Nothobranchius furzeri: one gene and its partner. The protein of the gene in region 1 interacts with the protein of each later gene in a pairwise test. Links are inferred from orthologs where the notes say so. Each region holds a gene or a part of one and is shown in the gene's direction. Other genes may lie near its edges.

Region 1 (4,304 bases):
AACGGTAAATCGTTTTACCAGAATGCACAGGCACAGAATTCAGCAGCCCGTATTATCACCAGAACCCCTTCCTTTCACCACATCACCCCGGTTCTCCAGCAGCTTCACTGGCTCCCAGTTAAATTCAGGTCCATCTTCAAAATTCTCCTTCATACCTTCAAAGCAATCCACAACCTCTCTCCTCCATATATCTCAGACCTTATAAGTATTCACACCCCGTCCCGTTCACTCAGATCTTCTTCTTCCATCCATCTTGCGGTTCCTTCTGCCCGTCTCGCTACCACGGGGAGCAGAGCTTTCAGCCGCTCTGCTCCTCGACTCTGGAACTCACTTCCCCCAGACATCAGGAACGTCGACAGTTTTACCCTTTTCAAAACAAAACTCAAAACACACATGTTTAAATCTGCCTAAAACCTCTGATTTTATTGAAATGTTTCTCTCTGTTGTTTCTTCTTTGGGTTTTATTATTGTTTTATTGTATTTTATTACGTGTTTTGTGTAAAGTGACCTTGGGTGTCCTGAAAGGCGCTTTGAAATAAAATGTATTATTATTATTATCATTATAAATCGTCTTTATTTGTATAGCGCCTTCTTAGGGTTCTACAACCCCCCCAAGGTGCTTCACAACACAGTCATTCACATATTATTGCTATTTTTTAAAGACAACATAAGAACCTCTAGTTTTATATGAAATTAATTCTGCACACGTTTTGTCTGCACCTGCTACTGCTGACAGTTTTTCTTTCCTGCAGCGTTGGAACAAATCCTGATGTAATGACGGTTTTCTTATGTTGATATGACCTATCAGGAAAAACAAACATCTTGTATTTATTATTATTATTGTTGTTGTTGTTGTTGTTGTTATTATTATTTCATAACTATAATTGCTATGACCCAAAATCTATGCTGGAATAGTGATTGAGCACTTTTGTAAAAGTTCCAGTACTTTTATTGCTCCACTGAAAACCAGATTGAAGTTTCATTTCATTTGTTATTTTTTTCTCATTCTGCAATTTCCTTCATCACTAATTCACAACACACTCATCAAGTACAATGTTCCAAGTGAAAAAAGAGAGACAGCAGGGAGGAGGAAGAAGTTAATGTTTTCTATAATATGTGCATTTTTTCTTTGCTTGTAATGAAATAAAAACGATCTAATATTGCCACTGGGGTGATTTGTAAACTCATCATACTTCTTTTGACTTTTGAGAAATTTGACAACAAATGTGTAAATCTGATGCTCCTAATATTTTTAAGCACAAATACGAATTAAGTTACCACAGAATTCACATTAAGAATCCACATGAGAAGTTATTTTCATAACAATAACAACGAATTTTTATTATGCAATTTTACGATTTTGTCAACAATTTTTGTCAGCACCAAAAATAAGCTCTTATTTTGAAAAAGTCTGACGAGTTGTGCCTTTATTGCGAAGTTTTAACCTCCGGAAGTGCGGTGCTCGGTTCGCGCTGGTTCTTCCGAAGCTAGGCTAGCCGAGAGGATGCCGTCGATTGAATACGACGAGTAAGAGTCTAAATGAAACGTAGGGTTTTTGTGTCTTTATTGAATGCGTGTAACCGTTGTAATAACGAGTTTGTGTGATTCTATTCTAGCTCAAAGCCCAGCTGGGCTGACCAGGTGGAGGAGGAAGTAGATGAAGGTAAACAGCATTTTAGCTTCGCTAGCTAGCTCGGTGGCAAATGTGACCTAGAGGGTTGGATGCTTAAGATCCTAAAACCGTAGGTGATAATAACCCTTGATGAAAACAGCAGAGGCTTATTCACAAGTTTAACAATTTTTATTTATAGATACAACCCAGGTCGGGATAAAAAGTAGACTAAAAACTCTAAAACACGGGAGGGAGGAGCGACGACAATGCTGGCCCTGGGACTACACACGCAACGCCATCTATTTCTATTTAAAAGCACAAAGCCGCTGTAGGGACCCGAGACAAGAGACAATAATATAAAGAAAAACACTCAGTGCTCCCCTGACCCGGTTACACAAAGGAGGCCGGTGTTGCAGTTCCACGTGGTTGAACAGCATTAAAGACGAGCTAAAATATGCAAGTTTGTTAAATTTTATAAGAATCTGCCCTTAAATCAGTCATGGGTTGGCGTGACTGAGAGACGAACGGCTTAAGAAATTGCGTTATGATAATGAGGCAGTGGTCCCCTGACAGTGACGTAGGGGTGTAAAAACAGTCAAGATAATGATGCTGACGGAAACTAGACTGATTAAATATTCATAAAACATTTAAAGTCGTCAACTGTTCCAGTTGATGTGAAAACGAAGATGTGACGTCACATCAGGAGCATCCTGATCCTGACAGTTCAGATCAGTCCCAGATAAACTCACATTTAGTTGAAAGTTATTAAAGTATCCCCGGATGTTAAGCTTATGGTTGTTTTTCGTGCATCTGCGAATGTTGTATACCTTTATCTTGATTATATTCTTACTTCCCATATTTGCTGTTTTCTTACTTTAATCGTTCTTTTTTGCACAAAGTGCCGCAGCAATTTCCTAATCTGATTTCTCGCACATATGTCACTAAAACCCTAATGATTCTGATCCCATAGGCACATTACCATCACCAAAGGAGACCATCAAAGGAAACATCAAAACAATCACTGAGTATAAGATAGATGATGATGGTAAAAAGTTCAAGGTACTTTGTTTATGTTGCATCAATAAATTTAAAAGGCAAATAATAAATGTCTCCTGAAATATTATAAGTGAAACATTTTGGTTCTCTAGATTGTGCGGACCTTCAAGATCGAGACGAGGAAAGCCTCAAAAGCTGTTGCCAGAAGAAAGGTCCGTGTTTTATTAAATCATATCAGTGCAGTTAATAAATGAACCGCCTTCTGATATTTACCACTCTCATTTCAGAACTGGAAGAAGTTCGGCAACTCTGAGTTTGACCCACCGGGTCCTAATGTTGCAACCACCACTGTCAGCGATGACGTCTTCATGACTTTCATCTCCAGCAAGGAGGTACAGGATATGTCCAAGTTGCTGTTTTCCTTCAGAACGCAAAAACGAACAAGAACATTCTTTAGGAAATGTTCTAATGGAGCATCGATAGTTCGCAGCAGGTTTAAAATGCTGCTTGCACTACTTTTTACAGCTTGCTTGGTGTTCACAATTACCACATTCAACAGCTCTAGATCTTCTCATTCTGTAATGTGACTCAGAATTTATGAAGTTCATGGCTGCAAATTTGTAATTTTTACTGTAATCAAGTTGTTTTATCAAAGTTGCTAATCTTGCTTTTTTTGCAGGACCTGAATGCCCAAGACCAAGATGAGGATCCAATGAACAAGCTCAAAGGGCAGAAGATTGTGTCTTGTCGTATTTGTAAAGGGGACCATTGGACGACCCGCTGCCCGTATAAGGACACGCTGGGCCCCATGCAGAAGGAGCTGGCTGAGCAGCTTGGGCTTTCCACTGGAGACAAGGAAAAGACTGCTGGTTCTGGTACCATTATCACCATTCTCATTACCACACTTGTCTGCTGCTGCTAGTTTCTAAAGGTGTGACAGTAATTGTGGCTTTTCCTAGCTGAGCCAGAGCCTGTTCAGCCTGCACAAAGCAAAACTGGAAAGTATGTCCCGCCGAGCCTGAGAGATGGAGGCACAAGAAGAGGGGAGTCTATGCAGCCTAACCGCAGAGGTCAGTTTGTGTTGGTATGGGTGCTACATTAGCAATATGTGGTCATTTTTAATCTGGTCATGCAGCGTTGAATAAACGTCTCAGTAAAACGAATCATTGCGTTTAACAGCTGATGACAACGCTACCATCCGTGTGACCAACCTGTCTGAGGACACTCGTGAGACAGACTTGCAGGAGCTTTTCAGACCGTTTGGTTCCATCTCAAGGATCTATCTGGCAAAGGACAAGAACACGGGACAGTCCAAGGTTAGTGCTCACCTTAGGGGTGACTGGGCTTTACAAGTGCTGGCCTTTCACAGTTTTTCTGCAACCTGCTGTTATCTACCATCTAGGATTTGAGATTGACGCTGAAAAAATCAAGAATCATCAGTCAGATTTTTTTTTATTGCTCTGCAGGGATTTGCCTTCATCAGTTTCCACCGTAGGGAGGATGCTGCCAGAGCCATAGCAGGAGTGTCAGGATTTGGATATGATCATCTTATTCTCAATGTTGAATGGGCCAAGTAAGTAAATTATCACTGTTGTCAGTAAAATGATCAGTGTTTCATATTCACTAACATAATTTACTTCTGTTACAGACCATCAAACAACTGAGGACTTCATCAGAATCTTAACAGAAAGATGCC
Region 2 (4,271 bases), on another chromosome or scaffold:
TTAAATGAAGACAGTAAAATATGGCTGTCCCACCTTGGGTTCTCCCTGAGCAGCGAAGCGTGTCCTCAGCGTGTCCAGAGGCTGGCAGGCCACCGCGGCCGAGCAGGCTGCCAAACCGCCACAGACAAAGTGAACTCCTGGTGTCTGGCTGTCGTAGATTGTCGATTTGTGAACAACTTCAGTCAGAAACTCAAAACTAACAAACTGCAAATCACAAAAAAACAGTTATTTCAGGGATGAGCCATTAGGAGGGCTTATTTGACTGTCTCAACATGCAGATTTTCATTCCACAAGCTGTACCTGGACAGCACCGTAGCAGATGGAGAGGAGCTGGGCTGGAACGTGGCCTTTCCAGAAAGCAGAAAGCCCTTCTTCTGTGTAAACGCTGCGTGAGGCCTGAAGGATTCCACAGTACTTTCCCTCAGGTCTACGTGACGACACACGCTCGATCTGCAGCTGTGGGAGGAAACACACTCGACTTATGCAACTAACTTTGTAGATTTCCATCCACACTGTTATTAAATGATTCCTTATGCATCGTTTTGTTGGACTTACATACCTTAACCATTCTTATTATAAGTCTAATTTTCAAAGTGAGCATAATCTGTTAATAGTTGGATCCAGCTCATCCAACACAAAAAATTCACACAGATTAATACCTGGAATCTTATTTTGATGACATCAAAAGGACTGATAATGGCTCTGGTGGCCAGCCCAGCAGCTGAACCAGCGATAGCTGCCTCCCAATGGGTAGGAGCTGCATTCTGCGCCCTGGGATCATAACCCACCATCTCACCACAACACTCCTATCAACACTGAAGACACAAACAAAAGTTCCATTTTTGACTAATTTTATTTTTTAAATATCCTGTGGTTTTTAAAATGTCACAGTTATCTGCAAACAATATCTCTCAATGTATTCATTTAACACAACGCTTTAATCAAAGTTTGCACCATGTCTGCGGACAAGTAGGGAGAAGAATTGTGCTAAGCTAAGCTAACAACACAACATCTGTTCCTTCGTTGTTGTAGCGACAACAACACGCTGACAGATGTTTACCTTTTACTAAAGAGCTGTCTTCATGAATATAACTTCCATTTCTATTTCTGTCTTCAACAAATTTCTCTACGATAAATCCATCAGCTTCAGATCTCAGCGTAACCCTGAACGCAACGTACTAACCACTTCCGCCGGTTCACTCAGCGCATGCTCCGTCTGTCAAAGATTAAATATTGGGAAAGATGAGTCACTGCCTTACAACAAACCGGAATCGAATTGTCCAGTATGTACAGTCTATGCAACAAACCTACAACCGGTCTACCACCGCCCTGTCACCATTACCTATCTCTAACCCTCATTCGTACACACTATTCTTTTTACAGAATTTACAGGTGATATTTTAAACCACTCAAATATTGGTGATACCGTGAAAATCTGTTAGGATAGTTTCATTAGTCCCGGTTGTGTTTTATGTGGTAACAGGAAATGCAGGTTAACTTATCTTTGTGTTTACATTTATTCTTTGAATGGTTCAGACGGAAGTAGCTTGACTAGTGGTATGATTTTGAATAGGTAAAGTTTCTCACATATTCTTGCATTCCATGCTTATTAACTGATGTGTGTTTTCTACCTGTTTGATTTTATTTATTTATTTTTTTTACATTTAATCGCTTTTATTGTTTTGGCGGGAGGTATTCCCTAACGGAAGCAGCTCGCGAACCACACGAGCTAGCACAGTGTTAATAAGTTAAATGTTGTTTTGATTTGGCATCCGCCTGTTTTTCGTTATAAACCCAGTAATAAACAGCGCCCATGCATAGCATTGCATTGTTTCGGTCCGAATGCGTGACTTGTATGTGGCTAGCAAGTTTAATTTTATCATGGCATAATGAAAGCACACTTTTGAGTGATAGGTGGTGTTTGTTGACCTGAGCTAGCCCAAATCCCCTCAATCCCGCAGTCAAAGAGCTGTAGGGAGCAGCCAGTCTGATGACTCCGCGGTTTCAGTTCTGTTTAAAAGACTCGTCGTGTCTGATAAAAGACTTGCTACATGTTGTTCTTCTGAAAAGCACAGTGAACATGGATGATCTTTCCTTCACAGCGTGACATCTCCCAGGTGTAACTTGTTCTTCACCATCTGACATGGAAAACTCCACCGATGACTACAAAATCCAGTCTTTTGACTTGGAAACGCAGACATTACTGAAAACTGCCTTGAAAGGTCAGAATTTTCTTTAAACTTTTGTGTAAATTATTCAAACTGTATAATTCGTTTTCAGTTCCTTCATTTAAATGTTGTTAAAAATGAACGTATATATTACAAAAGCCATTTTCTTGCCCTCAGATCCAAGTTCGGTGAACCTGGAGAAGGTCTCAAATGTCATCGTAGAGCAGTCTCTAAAGGATTGTGTGTTCAGCAAAGAGGCCGGACGTATTTGTTACACTATTGTGCAGGTCAGTCAGTGGTTGTGGTGCTTTTGTTCTGAGTCCTCTGCCTGCTCACCACCCTCCTGTTTAGTCCTGATTCTCCCTGTTTGCCCAGGCTGAGGCCAAACAAAGCAGCGGAAATGTGTTTAGGAGGCTCCTGTTGAACCGACTACAGCAAGAGTTTAAAGTACGTGAAGAAACAAGAACACGCTCTCTGCAGGAGTGGGTGTGCTACGTCACCTTCATCTGTAACATCTTTGACTACCTCAAGGTAAGAGACAGAGACAAATTGAAGTTTTGTCCATGATATGAAGATATTTTAAATATATGAATTGTTAAATTACTCTGGATCATTTCTGCAAAAGTACTTTTCTTCGTAAGTAAAGCCTTTAATATATTGTTTATTGCTGTAGTAACCAAGAAGAAGGTTGTATTAATTTGAGACCTGGATTTCTTGCTGTAAGTTAGAACTTTGAACGAAACTCCCAGCCAGCAGAAGGCCTAATAAGACACTGTATTGTTTCAGTTTCACTTCCAGATTCATAACTGGCTATAACACATTACTGCGCACATAGGTCAATCAAACCAGAGCATTTAGTACAGATTTTGACCTGTGTCAGACTTAAACCACATGATGGCAATATTTGTCTGACATCAAGGTGGATCTCAATGACAGACATTAAAGTGACAATGTGTAATTTTTACCATTAATCTCTGGAAATACCCATTGAAATGTTGTAAATTAATTAAAAGATACCAAGTTGTTGAAAAATATTGACAGTTTCATAGCATTTAACCATAAAAATCAGGTCTAAAATACACGGGAGTGGGTCTAAATCTCTAGGCGACGCCATATTGGATGCCATGTTTCCTTCTACGGAAGCCCGTGAGGACAGAGTGTATTTACTGATTTGTAACAAATGGTTACTAAACTTTCAGCATTAATAAACTTTGTTGTTTTACACATTTACCTCTTCACTTGTTGCCAGGGATGAAAGGGAATCTGATGTTCTTGTTCAGGGTATCCGCGGGTCTTGGAAAGTCTTGAAAAGTCTTGAATTTAATTTAGGCAAATTAAGACCCTTAAAAAGTCTTAAATTCATTAAGTGAAGTCTTAAATTCGGTGAGTATTGATGTGTATTTAAAATAAGTCTGTATATTAAAAATAAACGTGACAAGGTAATAAAATAAACCAATTTTTAGGTCTCTGCCAGCCGTTTTCGTGCATTTCCGTTCCACGTGACTTTGGCCACCGTGTATGTGACGTATTTCGCCAATTCAAGGAGAAGATGGTGGAAGCAAAATGGGGAAGCAGCCCCGGCGTCAGGGGGTCAATTTGAGGGGCATTGCCCCCCCCCCCCCCCACCCGTACCTCCATGCCCCCCCATTGGCTATCAGAGCGGTAATGTTATTATAATTTAATTATTTTTTTCAGTTAATTTTTTTTGGGGAGGAGTCACAGATTGTATGAATTCATATTCAGCTAAGGGAAACCAATAAAATTCAAAATACAAAATAAATATTTTAAGAGACGTCTCGGCTTGTGTCATGTGATGCATGCGTGCGTGGTGCCGCAAGTAACGCACCGACGTCTGTTTACGCTAGGAAACGGATATCACGGTAAACGAATATCACGGTAAACGAATTTAACGACACAAACGATGGATATAAGGAAATTCTTCCAATCACCACCAACTACAAGGTAAAACTGAAACTGCACGAGCGACAGCTTAGCAGGAGTGTCATATTGCCGCAGCAGAGAAGAAGTTAGGTGAGCAGCCGAAGCTAACTAGCCGTAGCAAGACTGAGGCACAGCTTCCCCCAGTGGAGCCGGAGCATGAAG

Evidence for each region.
Region 2: the proteins of eif3g (region 1) and mif4gdb interact in binary tests that used the Homo sapiens proteins (3 or more experiments, as listed by UniProt). The link is inferred for Nothobranchius furzeri from reciprocal best matches to the Homo sapiens genes EIF3G and MIF4GD.

What each region holds. Positions count from the first base shown.
Region 1 is NC_091745.1:3,309,710-3,314,013, forward strand, and holds the start of eif3g (eukaryotic translation initiation factor 3 subunit G), read left to right. Parts: upstream 1-1,423; 5' UTR 1,424-1,504; coding exon 1,505-1,527; intron 1,528-1,616; coding exon 1,617-1,663; intron 1,664-2,582; coding exon 2,583-2,671; intron 2,672-2,760; coding exon 2,761-2,820; intron 2,821-2,895; coding exon 2,896-3,000; intron 3,001-3,287; coding exon 3,288-3,483; intron 3,484-3,567; coding exon 3,568-3,678; intron 3,679-3,787; coding exon 3,788-3,924; intron 3,925-4,074; coding exon 4,075-4,181; intron 4,182-4,256; coding exon 4,257-4,272; 3' UTR 4,273-4,304. UniProt on the Homo sapiens protein: RNA-binding component of the eukaryotic translation initiation factor 3 (eIF-3) complex, which is required for several steps in the initiation of protein synthesis.
Region 2 is NC_091752.1:54,310,277-54,314,547, reverse strand, and holds the start of mif4gdb (MIF4G domain-containing protein B), read left to right. Parts: upstream 1-1,292; 5' UTR 1,293-1,392; intron 1,393-1,482; exon of another isoform or gene 1,483-1,573; intron 1,574-1,581; exon of another isoform or gene 1,582-1,618; intron 1,619-2,102; 5' UTR 2,103-2,143; coding exon 2,144-2,222; intron 2,223-2,345; coding exon 2,346-2,455; intron 2,456-2,543; coding exon 2,544-2,699; intron 2,700-4,271. Other genes in the region: slc25a19 (mitochondrial thiamine pyrophosphate carrier), read right to left, coding at 34-204, 301-456, 660-791. UniProt on the Homo sapiens protein: Functions in replication-dependent translation of histone mRNAs which differ from other eukaryotic mRNAs in that they do not end with a poly-A tail but a stem-loop. May participate in circularizing those mRNAs specifically enhancing their translation.